2 linked regions of the Anolis sagrei genome follow. The main gene of each other region encodes a partner of the protein of the gene in region 2 in a complex. Links are inferred from orthologs where the notes say so. Each region holds a gene or a part of one and is shown on either strand. Other genes may lie near its edges.

Evidence for each region. The genes of interacting proteins can lie anywhere in the genome.
Region 1: MEPCE (region 2) and LARP7 share a complex: the UniProt entries of both Homo sapiens proteins name them as parts of the 7SK RNP complex. The link is inferred for Anolis sagrei from reciprocal best matches to the Homo sapiens genes MEPCE and LARP7.

Annotation. Positions count from the first base shown.
Region 1 is NC_090025.1:32,549,392-32,557,141, reverse strand, and holds the start of LARP7 (la-related protein 7), read right to left. Parts: upstream 3,271-7,750; 5' UTR 3,142-3,270; intron 3,075-3,141; exon of another isoform or gene 3,052-3,074; intron 2,857-3,051; exon of another isoform or gene 2,788-2,856; intron 1-2,787. UniProt on the Homo sapiens protein: RNA-binding protein that specifically binds distinct small nuclear RNA (snRNAs) and regulates their processing and function.
Region 2 is NC_090026.1:2,897,752-2,906,037, reverse strand, and holds the start of MEPCE (7SK snRNA methylphosphate capping enzyme), read right to left. Parts: upstream 3,168-8,286; 5' UTR 2,876-3,167; coding exon 1,352-2,875; intron 1-1,351. UniProt on the Homo sapiens protein: S-adenosyl-L-methionine-dependent methyltransferase that adds a methylphosphate cap at the 5'-end of 7SK snRNA (7SK RNA), leading to stabilize it.

The DNA.
Region 1 (7,750 bases), on a different chromosome or scaffold from region 2:
CTGTTTCAGTATAATACAACATGAAGCCTCACGGAGTATAACTATGTCACACCAATATGGGAAATGAATGAAAATTATTTGAAATCAGGTCTCTTCTTGCTATAAGATGAATGTTCTAAATGTTTAAGATCAAAGTGTTTCCAATTATAGTTTCCAGGTATAAAGGAGATCATGTACTCTTCAACAGGACAAAAGTACAATATCAGTGCAACTCTCCCAGGGGCCTTCCACATTGCCACATAACCCAAAATATAAAGGCAGATAATCCACAAGATCTGCTTTGAACTGGAGCCCCTTCCAAACAGCTGAATAAAACCTCCCATTTTCTGCTTTGAGCTGGAACATATGGCAACATCCCAACCCAAAGAAGATATTAAGGGATTTTATTCAGCTATGGGGAAGGGACCCCACTACAATCCTTAAATACCAAGACATCCATAGTGTAGCTGACCACACAATTAATTTTATGGAATTTACTAACAAAAGATATAATCTACCATACTCAGGCCTAATTCACACAGACACACTAAGCTGTAGGAATCACAATCACCCCAATGGAGAAAAGTAACACTTATATGATAAGGGATCATGACATTATTTCACAGCTGTATTTCATGATAACAGAAAACAAAGTAACAAAGTCTGTCAGCACATTTATTAAACATGATTAGAGAAAGAATTGGGCAAATTCATCAAAGATTAATCTATTAATATCTATTAGCTACACAGCTCTGTGGGTGCATCTAAAAGGCAGAATTTACTATCATGGTTCAGTATTACGGATTTGGGGGAGTTGTATTTTAACAGGAGTGCCAAAGAGTGCTGGTGTTTCGCCAAACTAGAAATCCCAGGATTCCAAAGCATTGAGTCATTGCACTTAGGTCTCTTCCACACTGCTGAATAAAACCTCACATTATCTGCTTTGAACGGGGATATATGGCAGTGTGGACTCAGGGCTCTTTCACACAGCCATATCGCCCAGAATATCAAGGCAAAAAATTCCACAATATCTGCTTTGAATTGTGTTATCTGAGTCCACACTGCCATATATTCCAATTCAAAATAGAAATTGTGGGATCTTATTCAGCTATGTGGAAGGGGCCTCAGATCACCCAGTTCCAAGCAGATTTTGTAGGATTCTTCTGCCTTGATATTCTGGGTTATATGGCGATGTGAAAGAGCACTTCCACACAGCCCTATATCCCAGAATATCAAGGCAGGAAATCCCACATTATCTGAGTGTGGACTCAGATAGCCCAGTTGTGGGATTTTCTGCCTTGATATTCTGGGATATAGGGTTGTGTGGAAGGGCCGGTAAAAGTATGATAGCTGGGACCCAATGGTATGCTACTTGTGCAAGTAGAAGAACGGAAGACGAGCCCATCATGGGTCAGAAGGGGGGGGGGAACAATAAAGAGGGAACCACTGTGGTTAAGGCAAGTAAAAGAATGTTTGGTCAGTGAGCAGCAAATGGAAGAAGATCACACAACTTATGGCAATGAATTGACCCGGACTGGTTTTTGGATTTTGATTTTAATGGATGTGTCTTAATTAATTGTTGTTTTAATATTTAATATTTTGATTGTACTGTGGTTGTTTTTATGATGCTTTTGTTAGGTTGCCCTGAGTCCCCTTTCAGAAGGGCGGGGTATAAATATAGGAAATAAATAAATAAATGTTAGAGTTTTTAATTGTTAAATGCTAAACCACGGCTTATGAAGATGGTAAATGGGATAGAAATATTTCCTCTTCCCCTTTCTGGCGAACAATGGGCTATCTCGTGCACGTACTCCCCTCATTAATTCAGATCCACGTTGCGCAACCCAACATAACCAGCGTTGGGTCCCAGCTATCATACTTTTACCGATGTGCCCTTAGTGAGAGTGGTGTTAAACTTCATTAATTCTACATTGCAGATGCACACTCAATTCAAGAAACATCAAAGCAAGCGGTGGGAAAAAAGGCAACGGCGAGGGTGCAAATCTTGAGGTAATTTTTGGATGTAAAGTCCTGTAAAAATTGTCTTTATGTCCGGCAATTCTGCAGAAATGTGACCATTCTCTGTGGTTGCCCCCTAACTTTGGAACACCCTCCCCAAAGACATTAGACTAGCACCTATGTTGGCAGTCTTTAGGAAGAACTTGAAGACCTAGCTATTTCGATGTGCCTTTCAAGAATAGGATAACCCCTAGCACTATGTCCCAGTAGCACTTTACTAGAGTTTAAGACTCTCTGCACATTGCACTTGCTCAGAATTCCAACATACCACCTCTCATACCCAGCACTTTTTAATCTGTACCCTTCATTGGCCCGGCCCTGGTTTTATTGTGTAATAGTGTAATGTTTTGTTATTGCTTATGTTTTTAATTTGCTTTGTATCGTATTGTTATTGTCTAGTGTTGTTGTGTTGAGGCCTTGGCCTTTGTAAGCTGCATCAAATCCTTCGGAAGATGCTAGCGGGGTACAAATAATGTTTAATAATAATAATAATAAAAGGTAAAGGTTGTCCCCTGGCATAAAGTCCAGTCATATCTGACTTTGGGGTGTGGTGCTCATCTCCATTTCTAAGCCAAAGAGCCGGTATTGTCCGTAGACACCTCCAAGGTCATGTGGCTGGCATGACTGCATGGAGCGCTGTTACCTTCCCGCCGGAGTGCTACCTATTGATCTACTCACATTTGCATGTTTTCAAACTGCTAGGTTGGCAGAAAAATATGACTATAGCTACTTTATTTCTTAGGGCCCTTCCACACAGAATATCAAGGCAGGAAATCCCACATTATCTACTTGGAACGGGGTTATCTGAGTCCACACTGCCATATATTCTAATTGAAAGTAGAAAATGTGGGATTTTATTTAACTTTGTGGAAGGGGCCTTAGGAACCTAAGAATCCTAAAGTAATCAAAAGGAGGCGAGGCTCCAGGCGCATGCGCACAGGAATACAAACGATGAACCCCCCCCCCACTTCCTCAGCCAATCAAATCACCCTTTGAAACACCCCTCTCTTAACCCTTAACCGGTGCAGCACGTGCGCATGCGCAAACCACCACCTTCTGAGAGAAACGAGCCAAAAGTGACAGGAATGCTCACGCCATTCCCTTTCTTCCACACATGTACGCAGACACACATACACCACTAACCCGGTGAATCTCACGAGGGAAGTGTCTCCTAGCCGAAACCACCGCCCCGCCCTCCTCGCTCGTTGCCAGGTTGAATTCTCGCGCGACAGGCAGGAGACCCCGCTCTTCCCCGACCCTATTGGTCGCCGCGCGGGAGGGGAAAAAAAAACACGGGGCTCGCTTCTGCGCAGGCGCGGCCAAGAGAACCTGTCCGGCGCGCGCTTCCTAGAGGAGGCGCGGGGATGTGCATAGAGATAGGAAAAAAATAGAGACATATACTGGAAGTGACGCCAAGACGTCTATCTATACCACGCCGTTTTGGAACTCTGTGCATCCCTTCGTCGCGCAGACGTGACGTCACCTCCAGCAGGTTGAGCGGGAAACTTGAGAAGGTAGGAACGCGACAATGGTTTAGCTCTCTGTCACCAGCCCTGAGGGAAGGTTTTGTTTTCCAAAGCTGCAGTTCCTTTCCCTGTTTAGCTGACGGCGACTGTTTAATGACTCCCAAACTCTAGCCCTCGGGGTATTTTGGACTACAACTCCCACAAGCCTCAGGTGCCTGAGGCAATGACCAGGGATTCTGGGAGCTGAAGTCCAAAATGACTGGAAGGCCAGAGTTTGAGAAACATGCAGAATATTTAAACTGAGTCAGGATTACTAGGTTCTTGTAGGTTTTTAAGGACTATAGGGCCATGTTCTAGAGGCATTTCTCCTGAAACATTCACACCTAACTGCAGCAGGGAAGAGCTCCTTGCCCCACCCCAGCCATTCCACAGATATATAAACCCATTGTCCTAATTCCAACAGACCTCACTACCTCTGAGGATGCTTGCCATAGATGCAGGCGAAACGTCAGGAGAAATGCCTCAAGACATGGCCCTATAGCCCGAAAAAACCTACAAGAGACCTAGTGATTCCAGCCATGAAAGCCTTCGACAATACATTGAGTCAGGATTATTTATTTATTTATCGGGACAGAATTGAGAATACAGTTCTAATGTATGACTCTTAGGGCTCATTTCCATTAGAAGTAATGCGGTTTGGCATCACCTTCAGGGTTATGACTGAGTGCTGTGGGGTCCTGGGAGTTGTAGTTTGGTAAGGCACACTTTGTAAAACTACACCTGTGCTGTCGCACGCTGGGCCTGTGCATAAGACTGTAGACAGGACATAAATTCTGTGTGCCCAACGGGACGCCGGGGCTGCCTCAGATTAAAGGCCTTTGGATTTCCTTAAACAGAGTCTTTAGATTGCTCAAAGGTTTAACAAAGTTCTTTATTATTGAAAACAAACAGGTACTTTAAGGCTTCCTTAATAGTCTATTGCAGGGGTTCTCAAACTTCCTCATGCTGCGACCCCTTAATACAGGGGTCCTCAAACTAAGGCCCGGGGGCCGGATGCGGCCCTCCAAGGTAATTTATCTGGCCCTCGCGCACGGTCAACCTAAGTATGAAACTACTTGAAAGCACACAATAACAACAACAATCCTATCTCATCAGCCAAAAGCAGGCCCACAGTTTCCATTTAAATACTATTTAGTTTATATTTGTTAAAATTGTTCTTAATTTTAATTATTGTATTGTTTTTAAATGTTTTTAAGATATGTGTAGTGTGCATAGGAATTCATTCGTATTTTTTTCGAATTATAATCTGGCACGCCAACAGTTTGAGGGACTGTGACCTGGCCCTCTGTTTAAAAAGTTTGTGGACCCCTGCCTTAATACCCCCAACCATAAAATTATTTTCCTTCCTACTTCATAACTGTCATTTTGCTACTGTTATCAATCGTAATGTAACTATCTGATACGCAGGATGGATTTTCATTCACTAGACCAAATTTGGCACAAATACCCGATACCTGATACAAATTTGAATACTGGTGGGGTGGGGGGGGTGATTTTGTCATTTGGGAGTTGTGGTTGCTGGGATTTGTAGTTCACTTGCAATCAAAGAGCATTCTGAACTCTACCAACAATGGAATTGAACCAAACTTGGCACACAGAACTCCCATGGCAAACAGAAAATATTGGAAGGGTTTGGTGGGCATTGACCTTTTTGTTTTGGAGTTGTAGTTTGCCTACATCCAGAGAGCACTGTGGACTCAAAAGATGATGGATCTGGACCAAACTTGGCACGAATACTTAATATGCCCAAAAGTGAACACTGGTGGAGTTTGGGGAAAGTAGTCCTTGTCATTTTGGGAGTTGTAGTTGCTGGGATTTGTAGTTCACCTACTATCAAAGAGCATTCTGAACCCCACCAACGACAGAATTGGGCCAAACTTCCCACATAGAACCCCCATGACCAACAGAAAATACTGTGTTTTCTGGTGGTCTTTAGTGACCCCTCTGACATTCCCTTGTGACCCCCAGGTTGAGAACCACTGATCTATTGGCTCTCTCAATCTTGTCCACTGGGAACAGGCACAATCTTCACAACTGAATTTCAACTAATGGGGAAATCCTTAACTTCTAATCTGGGCAGTCTGTCTTTGCCTCTGTTGGAGCCCCTACACCCAGTACCAACTGCTTCTGGCTTCTGCGAGTGACCCTTACCAGGCAGAGCTTTGTAGACTTCCAAGGGAAAAAGGAAGGAGTTCAGGTGTCAGTGATGGCTGGCTGAAGTGCTGTGAGACCGGTTTCCCTCAGCAAAGGAGCTGTAAGGCTGTATATCTCCCAGCCAAGCCACGGGACCTTTCTCCCCGGCCAAGCTGTAGAAGACGAAGCTTTCTACAGGAGCTCTTGGTATTATGTCCTGCATGGAAAGCTTCTCTGTATGGACTGAACCCAAAAAGGCTTCTATTCCCTCCAAAAACCCAAAAAGGGGCGGGACCAGGGAACCTAACTATAATTGACAGGTGGCTTGTCCTATGATTGCAGCCAAAAGAAGATAGCTGCAGAGTCCCTGAAACTTAGGACTATAACAAACATTCAGTGCAAAGCAAACAAAATTGGAGCTCCTGGTACAGCTGTACCTGCACAACACCTCTCGCAATTCCATAGCATGGAGCCGTAGTAGTTAAAACTGTTGTCAAATTGCATTAGTTGTGCTGTGTAACTGCACCCTTAATCAAAAATCTGTAAAATTTAAGGTCATCAAAATGTCTTTTTTTTTTTAAGAAAAAAAAGGGTATTCTGGTATTAAACGAGTTAGGGGTTTTACGTCCAAAAGAATAATTTCAACCTGGGGGTCACAATCAGACACAATGAAGACATCTACCCTTGCATTTTGCTACTTTGCTGCTGAATACTCATGCCCTGTGTGGAATACTTCTCACCATGTTATAACCGTGGATGTGGCTCTCAAGGAGACACTATTGTAGGATATCTACTCCCAACACCACTGGAGAAATTATACTGTTTAGCTGGTATTGCACCACCGGATATCCACGGGAAGTAGCAGCCAGCAATGAAAGGACCAAGGCAGTGACATCTCTGCCCCTTCTCTGTTTGGATATCAGCCAGCAAGCCAATGCCTTAAATCAATAAAAAGGTTCCTAAGAACTACAGATATACTCACAGGGACACCCCAGCAAGCAAGTGTCCAAAAGTGGCAGGCTAAAACCCGGAACTTCAATCAGTGGCTGAAGCCGGATGAGAAACAGACTGCACTCTTGAACCACAAGATGTAGAGCTAGCTTTAAGAAATGGGGCTACAAAGTGGAGTCCACGACATGCGAGTGCAGAGAAGAGCAAGCCAAAGATCACTTACTATAAGGCAGTCTGAGCCCTGCCACATGCACAATGGAGGACCTTCTTACAGCGGCACCAGAGGCACTCGAAGTGGCCAGTTTCTGGTCAAAGGAAATTTAGCATAATGCCGGGTTTTTAACTTTGTTCTTTTTTATACATTATAATTGTATCTCAGTTTGCTTCTGACACGATAAATAAATACATCTCAGATTTGCTCCATCACATACAATATTTTTGTTGTTATAAAAGACAAAAAAACAAATGAAATCTCTAAAGGAAATGGCACTGGAACATCAGTATCTACACAGAATGAAAACAGTCAATTGAACTGAGAAAAAAGGGTGTAATATGAATGAACTATGTGATATGACCTATATATTGTGGGTTTTTAATGCATTATTAAAATGCTTAGGCCTGTGATTTGGAAGCTGAGTAAATTAGCCCTTTGATGCCTCTTTTGCCCTGTTTTATCTCCTCCTCCTCTTGTCTGGGAACACAGTGATATTGGGGGACCTCAAAGGAGCCCCCGGTGGCAGAGTTGCTGAGCTGCTGAACTTACTAACTGAAAGGTTTATTTATTTTACTTATTTCCTATATTTATGCCCCCCCCCCCCCCCTGAAAGGGGATTCAGGGCAGCCTAAAAAAAGCATCATACAATGCTAGCATCATAAAAACAACCACAGTACAATCAAAATTTTAAAAATTAAAACAATTAATTAAGACACCCATTAAAATTGAAATCCAAAAACCAGTCTGGGTCAATTCATTGCCATAAGTTGTGTGATCTTCTTCCACTTGCTCACTGATCAAATGCTTGGTCCCATAACCAGGACTTGATTTTCCTTCTAAAAGACAAGAGGGGAGTGTCCAATCTGATATCTCCAGGGAGGGCGTTCCATAGGTGGGGGGCCACTGCTGAGAAGGCCCTGTCTCTCAT
Region 2 (8,286 bases):
TATCATTATTATTAATTATTATGTAGATGTTAGTGTTATCATTATGCGGTGGAGGCTCCTTCTATGGAGGCTTTTAAACAGAGGCTGGATGACCATCTGTCGGGGGTGCTTTGAACGTGATTTTCCTGCTTCTTGGCAGAATGGGATTGGACTGGATGGCCCACGAGGTCTCTTCCAACTCTAGGATTGTATTTATTTAACCCTGCTTTGGATGTCATTACCTGGGGAGATTAGGCTAGCTCCCACCTTGTCAGCTTATAGGAAAGGCTTGAAAACCTGGCTGTTCTGCCTTGCTTTTGATGAATGAACAATAATCCCCACACTACGACAGTCCCAGCACATACCTGTCCTCTTGATGCACCTTGCCTTATTCCTAGCGAGTAATTAAGCCCCATAGCTTGTCCCTCCTGTACCTCCCAGTGGTTAAATTGCTTCGGTTATCCTTTCCTATGTCCCTTGATTTTATCTTCGCACCTTGGCCCTTATTCCTAATCTTATATTACTTTATACCCAATATGTTAATTTCTTTTCTTGTTTGTATGTTATTGTTTTATTGCTGTACTTTATTTTAATTTTAATTATTATTAGCTGTCCCCTGCCACATGTTGCTGTGGCCCAGTCTATGTAGATGTGTTTTTAATGTGCATGTTTGTGTGTATGTGTGTTTGCATATATATGTGTGTGTGTGTGTGGTTTTAAGCATGTGTTGTAATGTATTTTTTGTTATTTGTAATGTATTTTTTGTCTTCTGCTGTGCTTTTAATGAGGGTCACTCGTTGCCCTGATGGGTGTATTGTGTCCAAATTTGGTGTCAATTCATCCAGTGGTTTTTGAGTTATGTTAATCCCACAAAACATACATTAAAATTTTATTTATATAGATTTGCTGTATGTATCTTATTTGTTTACTGTATTCGTTGGGCTTGGCCTGTTAGCCACCCCGAGTCCCTGAGGGGAGATGGTAGTGGGGTATAAATAAAGTTTAATAATAATAATAATAACCCATTCAGATTAATCCCTTATCCCTAATTTTATTTTACTTTATACCCAGTGTTATTTCCCTTTTGTTGTTTATTTATATATTTACCACATTTATATACTGCCCCTCTTAGCCCAGAGGCGACTTGGAGCGTGTTATTGTTTGTATGTTATTGTTTTATTGCTGAACTTCAATTTTAATTATTATTTGCTGTACATATCTTATTTGTTTACTGTATTCATTGGGCTTGGCCTCATGTTAGCCACCCCGAGTCCCCGAGGGGAGATGGTGGCGGGGTATAAATGAAGTTTAATAATAATAATAATAATAATAATAACCACCCACTATGCCATCAGGAGCCTCCTTGCCTTACCTTGATGAAAATGACATTGTTGGGGAACACAGAGGCATCTGTCCCTTCCTGAGGGACCCTCGGAGCGGCGATGGGGCCCCGGCTGGCCATCAGAGAGGCAGGGAAGGTCTTTCTGGCCGCGGTGCTGCTCGGACCCTCGTCGCTCTCCTGCTTCTGCTGGTGGAGCTCCTCGGAGAGGTAGTGCCGGATGTTTTGCCGGGCCGAGTGGATGAGGTGCCCGTCAATGTCCAGGCCCACCATGCGGGCAGGCCCCCACTTCTTGGCCACGCTCAGGGTGAAGTGTCCCACGTTGCAGCCCACGTCCAGCACCTCTTTACCTTGGAACCACTCCGGCTTCATCACCCGCAGCCGGGCATCCTCGCAGTCGGGGTTGCGGTATCCGTAGTACTTGCAGTAGTTGCCGTACTGGAACTTGTGCCGGGGCTGTCGGCGGGCGGACGCGGGGGGCGCGTGGCGGGAACGGGGGGCACTGCGGGCCCTCTCTGGGCTGCTCCGGGAAGGCTGTTCCAACGCCGAGGAAGGCCCCTGATGCCGCGCGGCCGCCACTTCGGATTTGCTACAAGTCCTGCGCCGCTTGCGGTGGTGCCGGCTCCCTGTGCTGGCGGACGATGCCACAGAGACGCAGGAGGGGGTGACGCCCCCTCCGGCGGAAACCCCTTGGTGGCTGGGCTGGGGCTCCCCATGTCCGGCGGGAAGCAGCGGCGAGACCACCTCATCCCTGCAGTTGATGACGGTGTTGAGTTCGTACGGCTGGGGGGTGGCCCCATTGCAGGGCTTGGACTTCTGGCAGGAAGCCGAGGCGGTGGCGGCGGGCGTCGCGGGAGCCTTGGTCCCCGCTCCGTCGGTGCTGCCCCCCCTCTGCGCCCCTCGGTGCCGGTGCCGCTTGCGTTTGGCGGGCGAAGCCAAGACGGGAGGGTCGTCCTGGGCGTTGTTGAGACTCAACGGGTCGGTGATATCCTTGGGGATGAGGATCTCCACGGGGTCGCGGCCTTTGGCCGGCAGCGGCGACGACTTGGGGGTCTCGGCGTTGAGTGCCTGGTTGACCTCCTCGTCCAGGAGGCTGTTGAGGTTGAGCGGGTCGAAGATGTTCCCGCCGAGGAGGAACTCCGACGGGAGGACCGGGTCGCACTCGGAGTTGACCCTCCGGCGGCGCTTGAAAGCGGGGTGCTTGAAACCGCCTCCTCCACCGACATTGCAGCTGTTACGCCTCTTGTTGGGCCTCTGTTGTGGTTGTTGTTGTGGTTGTGGAGGGGCCTGGAAGCCATTGCGAGGCTTGTGGAGCTCAGCTAGGCCGTCTCCCTCCTCCACAGAGGCCTCCACTCCTCGTTGGGGGTCTGTGAGGCCTCCATCCCCACCTCCACGGCTCCCTTGGGCCTTCCCCGCCATGGGGCCTCCTTTCCCGGCTGCATTTCTAGGCAAGTCCCCGGCTCCACAGGTGGTAGGCCCCTTCGGAGGGGGTTTAGGCAACGGGGGAGGCGGGGCCGGGACTCGGAAGGCGTCCTTGTCGGCCGCCATCTCGATCATCCCTCAGGCCAGCCGGGGAAGAGGAGAGAAGCAGCCTTGTTCCTCTCCTCAGCCCGCCTCACGTTGTTTCTGCCTCAGACTCCTTCTGCGCGTGCGCAGTACGCTCCCTCGGCTGCTCCCTTCCTTTGCTCTCTCCCGCGCAGGCGCACTCCGCGATCAAGCCCAGCCTCCGTCGCGCAGGCGCACAAAACACCCACAACGCCCCGCCCTCTTGATCAGCGCATGCGCAGCCCAGCCAGCGCTCCGTCCAAGGAAGAACGCTTCGCGCCTCCCGATTTCCTGCGATGGCACGCTCCCCCCTCAGCGCTGGGTTTATATACCTTGTGGGCGTGGCTAATATACACCACGCCCCCTCGGTTCGATGACAACCAATCAGAGCCCGGCGCCCGCTCGAGCCGCGTGTATCGGAAACCAATCAGAACCAATTCCTCACAAGGCGCCCCTCCTTTTCTTCCTCCCGCCTCCTGATTTAGATTTCAACCAATAGGAAAGCAGAAGGGGAGCTCCTCCATCCAATCAAAGCTCAGCACTCGGATCTAATTTTTCTCCTCAGAGTGGGTGAGGGTCCTTCTCGGTATAGGGTTGTCTAACTCATACGCCTGCATGAGCGTTATTTCGAGCTTTAAAGTCGCAAAGGAAAGGCGAAGTAGATATATTTCCCCGCATTGGATGTGTTAAATAATACACTTTTCGTCAACTGCCAAAAATCTGCCTCGAAGAACAAGCCGGTTTTTTTTCAGGCATTGGCTTAGTCTCCTAAAAAAAGAGGAAAACAGCCTCACTTGCCAAAGATATAATCTATTTTAATATAATTTAAGTAAATCCGCCCTTGGAACCAATACTTTCACATTCTTTGTGCAAAGAAGAATTTTAATCATTTTTTGTTTTTCTTTTTAAAAGGGTTTCCCAATATGGACAGTTGTCAAAAGATCACATGGCTCCACTTGCCTGAAACGGATGCCTGCAAAGCACTCTGGGAACTGTAGTTTTGTTCCAGGCCCCCCAGTGGCGCATGCGCCGAATGTCGCAGCCGCCACTGCTTCTTACCAACTGCGCAGGCGCGGGAGGTGGGTAAACAAACAGACCCCAGGACACGCGGGGAAAGGGAGAGGAACGTGGGAAAGGGCGGCACGGGATTCATAGAGGGCCAATGTGTTTATTGTTACACTGATGGGGGAGGTTAGGCTCAAAGGCGAGTTGTAAATCTATATATCTAATATATATAGATCTATGCTGATGATTGTGCCATCACCGCTCAAGCAGGGAGCTTTGAGATGGTAGAACAGAAGCTCTCCGAAGCTCTAGTTCAGGCATGGGCAAACTTGGGCCCTCCAGGTGTTTTGGACTCCCAACTCCCACAATTCCTAACAACCGATAGGCTGTTAGGAATTGTGGGAGTTGGGAGTCCAAAACACCTGGAGGGCCCAAGTTTGCCCATGCCTGCTCTAGATGCTCTTACTGCCTATTACAGGGGAAACCAGCTGATCCCCAACCCATCTAAAACACAGACATGTGCCTTTCACCTTAAGAACAGACAAGCATCCCGAGCTCTGAGGATTATTACCTGGGAAGGAATTCCACTGGAGCATTGCAGGGCACCCAAATACCTGGGAGTCGCTCTGGACTGTGCCCTGACCTACAAGAAGCACTGCCTGAACATCAAGCAAAAAGTGGGTGCTAGAAACAATATCATACGAAAGCTGACTGGCACAACCTGGGGATCACAACCAGACACAGTGAAGACATCTGCCCTTGCGCAGTGCTACTCTGCTGCTGAGTACGCATGCCCAGTGTGGAACACATCTCACCACGCTAAAACAGTGTTCCTAATGTTCCATCTGAACATTAGGAAGAACTTCCTGACTGTGAGAGCCGTTCAGCAGTGGAACTCTCTGCCCCGGAGTGTGGTGGAGGCTCCTTCTTTGGAAGCTTTTAAGCAGAGGCTGGATGGCCATTTGTCAGGGGTGATTTGAATGCAATATTCCTGCTTCTTGGCAGAATGGGGTTGGACTGGATGGCCCATGAGGTCTCTTCCAACTCTTTGATTCTATGATTCTATGTGGCTCTTAATGACACATGCCACATTATCACGGGGTGTCTGTGCCCCACACCACTGGAGAAATTACACTGCTTCACTGGTATCGCACCACCTGACATCCGCCGGGAAGTAGCAGCCAATAGTGAAAGGACCAAGGCAGAGACATCTCCAGCTCATCCTCTGTTTGGGTATCATCCAGCACATCAACGACTTAAATCAAGAAATAGTATTCTAAGATCTACAGGGACACTCTCTGGAACACCTCAGCAAGCGGGAGTCCAAAAGTGGCAGGCTCAAACCCAGAACCTCAACCAATGGCTGATACCAAATGAGAGACTCCCCGCTGGGCACACAGAAGACTTGGAAGGTGCTGAACAGACTGCGCTCTGGCACCACGAGATGCAGAGCCAATCTTAAGAAATGGGGCCACAAAGTGGAATCCACGACATGCGAGTGGGGAGAAGAGCAAACCACTGACCACCTGCTGCAATGCAACCTGAGCCCTGCCACATGCACAAGGGAGGACCTTCTTGCGGCAACACCTGAGGCACTCCAAGTGGCCAGATACGTGTCACAGGACATTTTGCAGACGACACCAAATTGGGAGAGCCAAGACTCCAGAGGACATGAGCAGGATTTCAAACGATCTTGACAGATTAGAGAGATGAATGGCCAAAATTAACAAAATGAAGTTCAACAGTGACAAATGCAAGATACTCCACTTTGGCAGGAAAAACAAAATGCAAAGATACAGAATGGGGGACAGTGCCTGGCTCGAGAGCAGTACGTGTGAAAAAGATCTTGGAGTCCTCGTGGACAACAAGTTAAACATGAGCCAGGAATGTGATGTGGCGGCAAAAAAAGCCAATGGGATTTTGGCCTCAGGCATCAATAGGAGCCTAGTGTCTAGATCTAGGGAAGTCATGCTCCCCATGCTCTATTCCGCTTTGGTTAGACCACTTTACCTGGAATATTGTGTCCAATTCTGGGCACCACAATTGAAGGGAGATATTGACAAGCTGGAATGTGTCCAGAGGAAGGCGACTAAAATGATCAAGGGTCTGGAGAACAAGCCCTATGAGAAGCGGCTTAAGGAGCTGGGCATGTTTAGCCTGAAGAAGAGAAGGCTGAGAGGAGATATGATAGCCATGGATAAATATGTGAGAGGAAGCCACAGGGAGGAGGAGGGTGCAAGCTTGTTCTCTGCTTCCTTGGAGACTAGGATGCAATGGAGGTCAGCTGTGACCAGCAGTGCTGCAGAATTTGAGGAGGCACGAGTGGAGGGTGAAAGAGAGAAACGTGCCAGGAGGAAGGCGCGTCAAGCCAACCCCGGCCGAGACCGCCTTCCACCTGGAAACCAATGCCCTCACTGCGGAAGAAGATGCAGAGCAAGAATAGGGCTCCACAGCCACATACGGACCCACAGGGAAATCCATAATGGAAGACCATCTTACTCGTCCAACGAGGGATCGCCTAAGTAAGTAAGTAAGTAAGTAAGGAGCCATGGCTTCAAACTACAAGAGAGGAGATTCCATCTGAACATGAGGAAGAACTTCCTAACTGTGAAGAGCCGTTCAGCAGTGGAACTCTCTGCCCCAGAGTGTGGTGGAGGCTCCTTCTTTGGAAGCTTTTAAACAGAGGCTGGATGGCCATCTGTCAGGGGTGCTTTGAATGCAATATTCCTGCTTCTTGGCAGAACGGGGTTGGACTGGATGGCCCATGAGGTCTCTTCGAATTCTTGGATTCTAGGATTCTATGACATTTAGTATAATGCCAAGTTTTCAAACTTTCTTTGTGGGTTTTTATACATTATAACTCTATTCTCAATTTGCTTCTGACACAATAAATAAATAACTTGGCAAATAGTTGCAGGTATCTTTTTGTACTGGTGGTATCAGGTATGAAGATGTGAGAATTATGTTGTGCCCCACAGATGCTTATAAATACACTACAAATACAGCAACAGAGCAGGCTAAAGCCAGGGGGGAAAAATAGAAAGCTTGTTTTCTGCTGCCCTGGAAACCAGGACTCAGCGTAATGGGTTCAAATTACAGGAAAGGCGATTCCACCTAAACTGTATTAGGAAGAACTTCTTGACCGTAAGGAGAGCTGTTCAGCAGTGGAACTCTCTGCCTCGGAGTTTGGTGGAAGCTCCTTCCTTGGAAGGTTCTAAACAGGCTCAATGGCTATCTGTCAGGGGTGCTTTTATTGTGCTTTTCCTGTATAACAGAATGAAGTTGGACTAGATGGCCCATGGGGTGTTGCCCCTTGCAATTGTAGAGAAAGGAGAAGCAATAGCTGTGGGTCGGAGTGCCAGTATTCTTCCCCTGGGACTCTCTGAAAACATCCACAAAGAGATTACAGGAATGACCCACCCTGGTCATTCCACAGATATATAAAACCCTTTCCCCTCGTTCCAACAGACCTCACTACCTCTGAGGATGCTTGCCGGCTGGCGGGGACGAGAGATAGGGCCTTCTCAGTGGTGGCTCCTCGGCTGTGGAACACCCTTCCCGTGGACATCAGGCTAGCTCCCTCCCTGTTGATATTCCGCAGGAAGTTAAAGACCTGGCTGTTTAAGAAGGCATTTGGACAAGAAGTGCAATGATTGGTAATTTGACCATAGGAATGGAACAACGGAAATGATATCGGATTGTGGGTTTGACGATGAGACGACTCGGAATGGCTTTTGTAGTAATGTTGATGTTTTGATGAGATGTTTTTTGATAATGTGGATTATTTTACACTATGTTTTGTATTTTGCACCTGTTTTTCTATGTTGTACACCGCAGTGAGTCGCCCTTGGGCTGAGAATTGCGGTATATAAGCGAAGTAAATAAATAAATAAATAAATAAATAAATGCAGGCGAAACGTCAGGAGAGAATGCCTCTAGAACATGGCCATATAGCCCGAAAAAACCTACAACAACCCAGATTACAGGAAGTTTGGTTAAAAGGAAACCATTACTGATGTGAAAATGCACAGGAAGTGGCTGCCATTTATCTACAAGGGCGAATTGCGGTTTCCATTGCCTTCCAAGAGAAGCCTTATACCTTTTTTTGGTCAGACAAAGGCCAGTCTGGAGAGGTCCAAGGACACAAAGACAGCCTTGGAGGGCCAGGTGCAGCCCAAGGCCACCCACGGGTCCTTCCTCCCACTCCAATACCTTTTGAGATATTCTAGGTGGCACTAAGCTCTATAGCCAGCATACATAATGGTAAGGAATGCTGAGAGACTTGGGGGGGGGGGGGGGGGGTTCGCGAGGGTCACCAAAGACCATCAAAAACACAGTATTTTCTATTGGTCATGGGGGTTGTGTGGGAGGTTTGGCCCAATTCTATCATTGGTGGGGTTCAAGGGGCTCTTTGATTG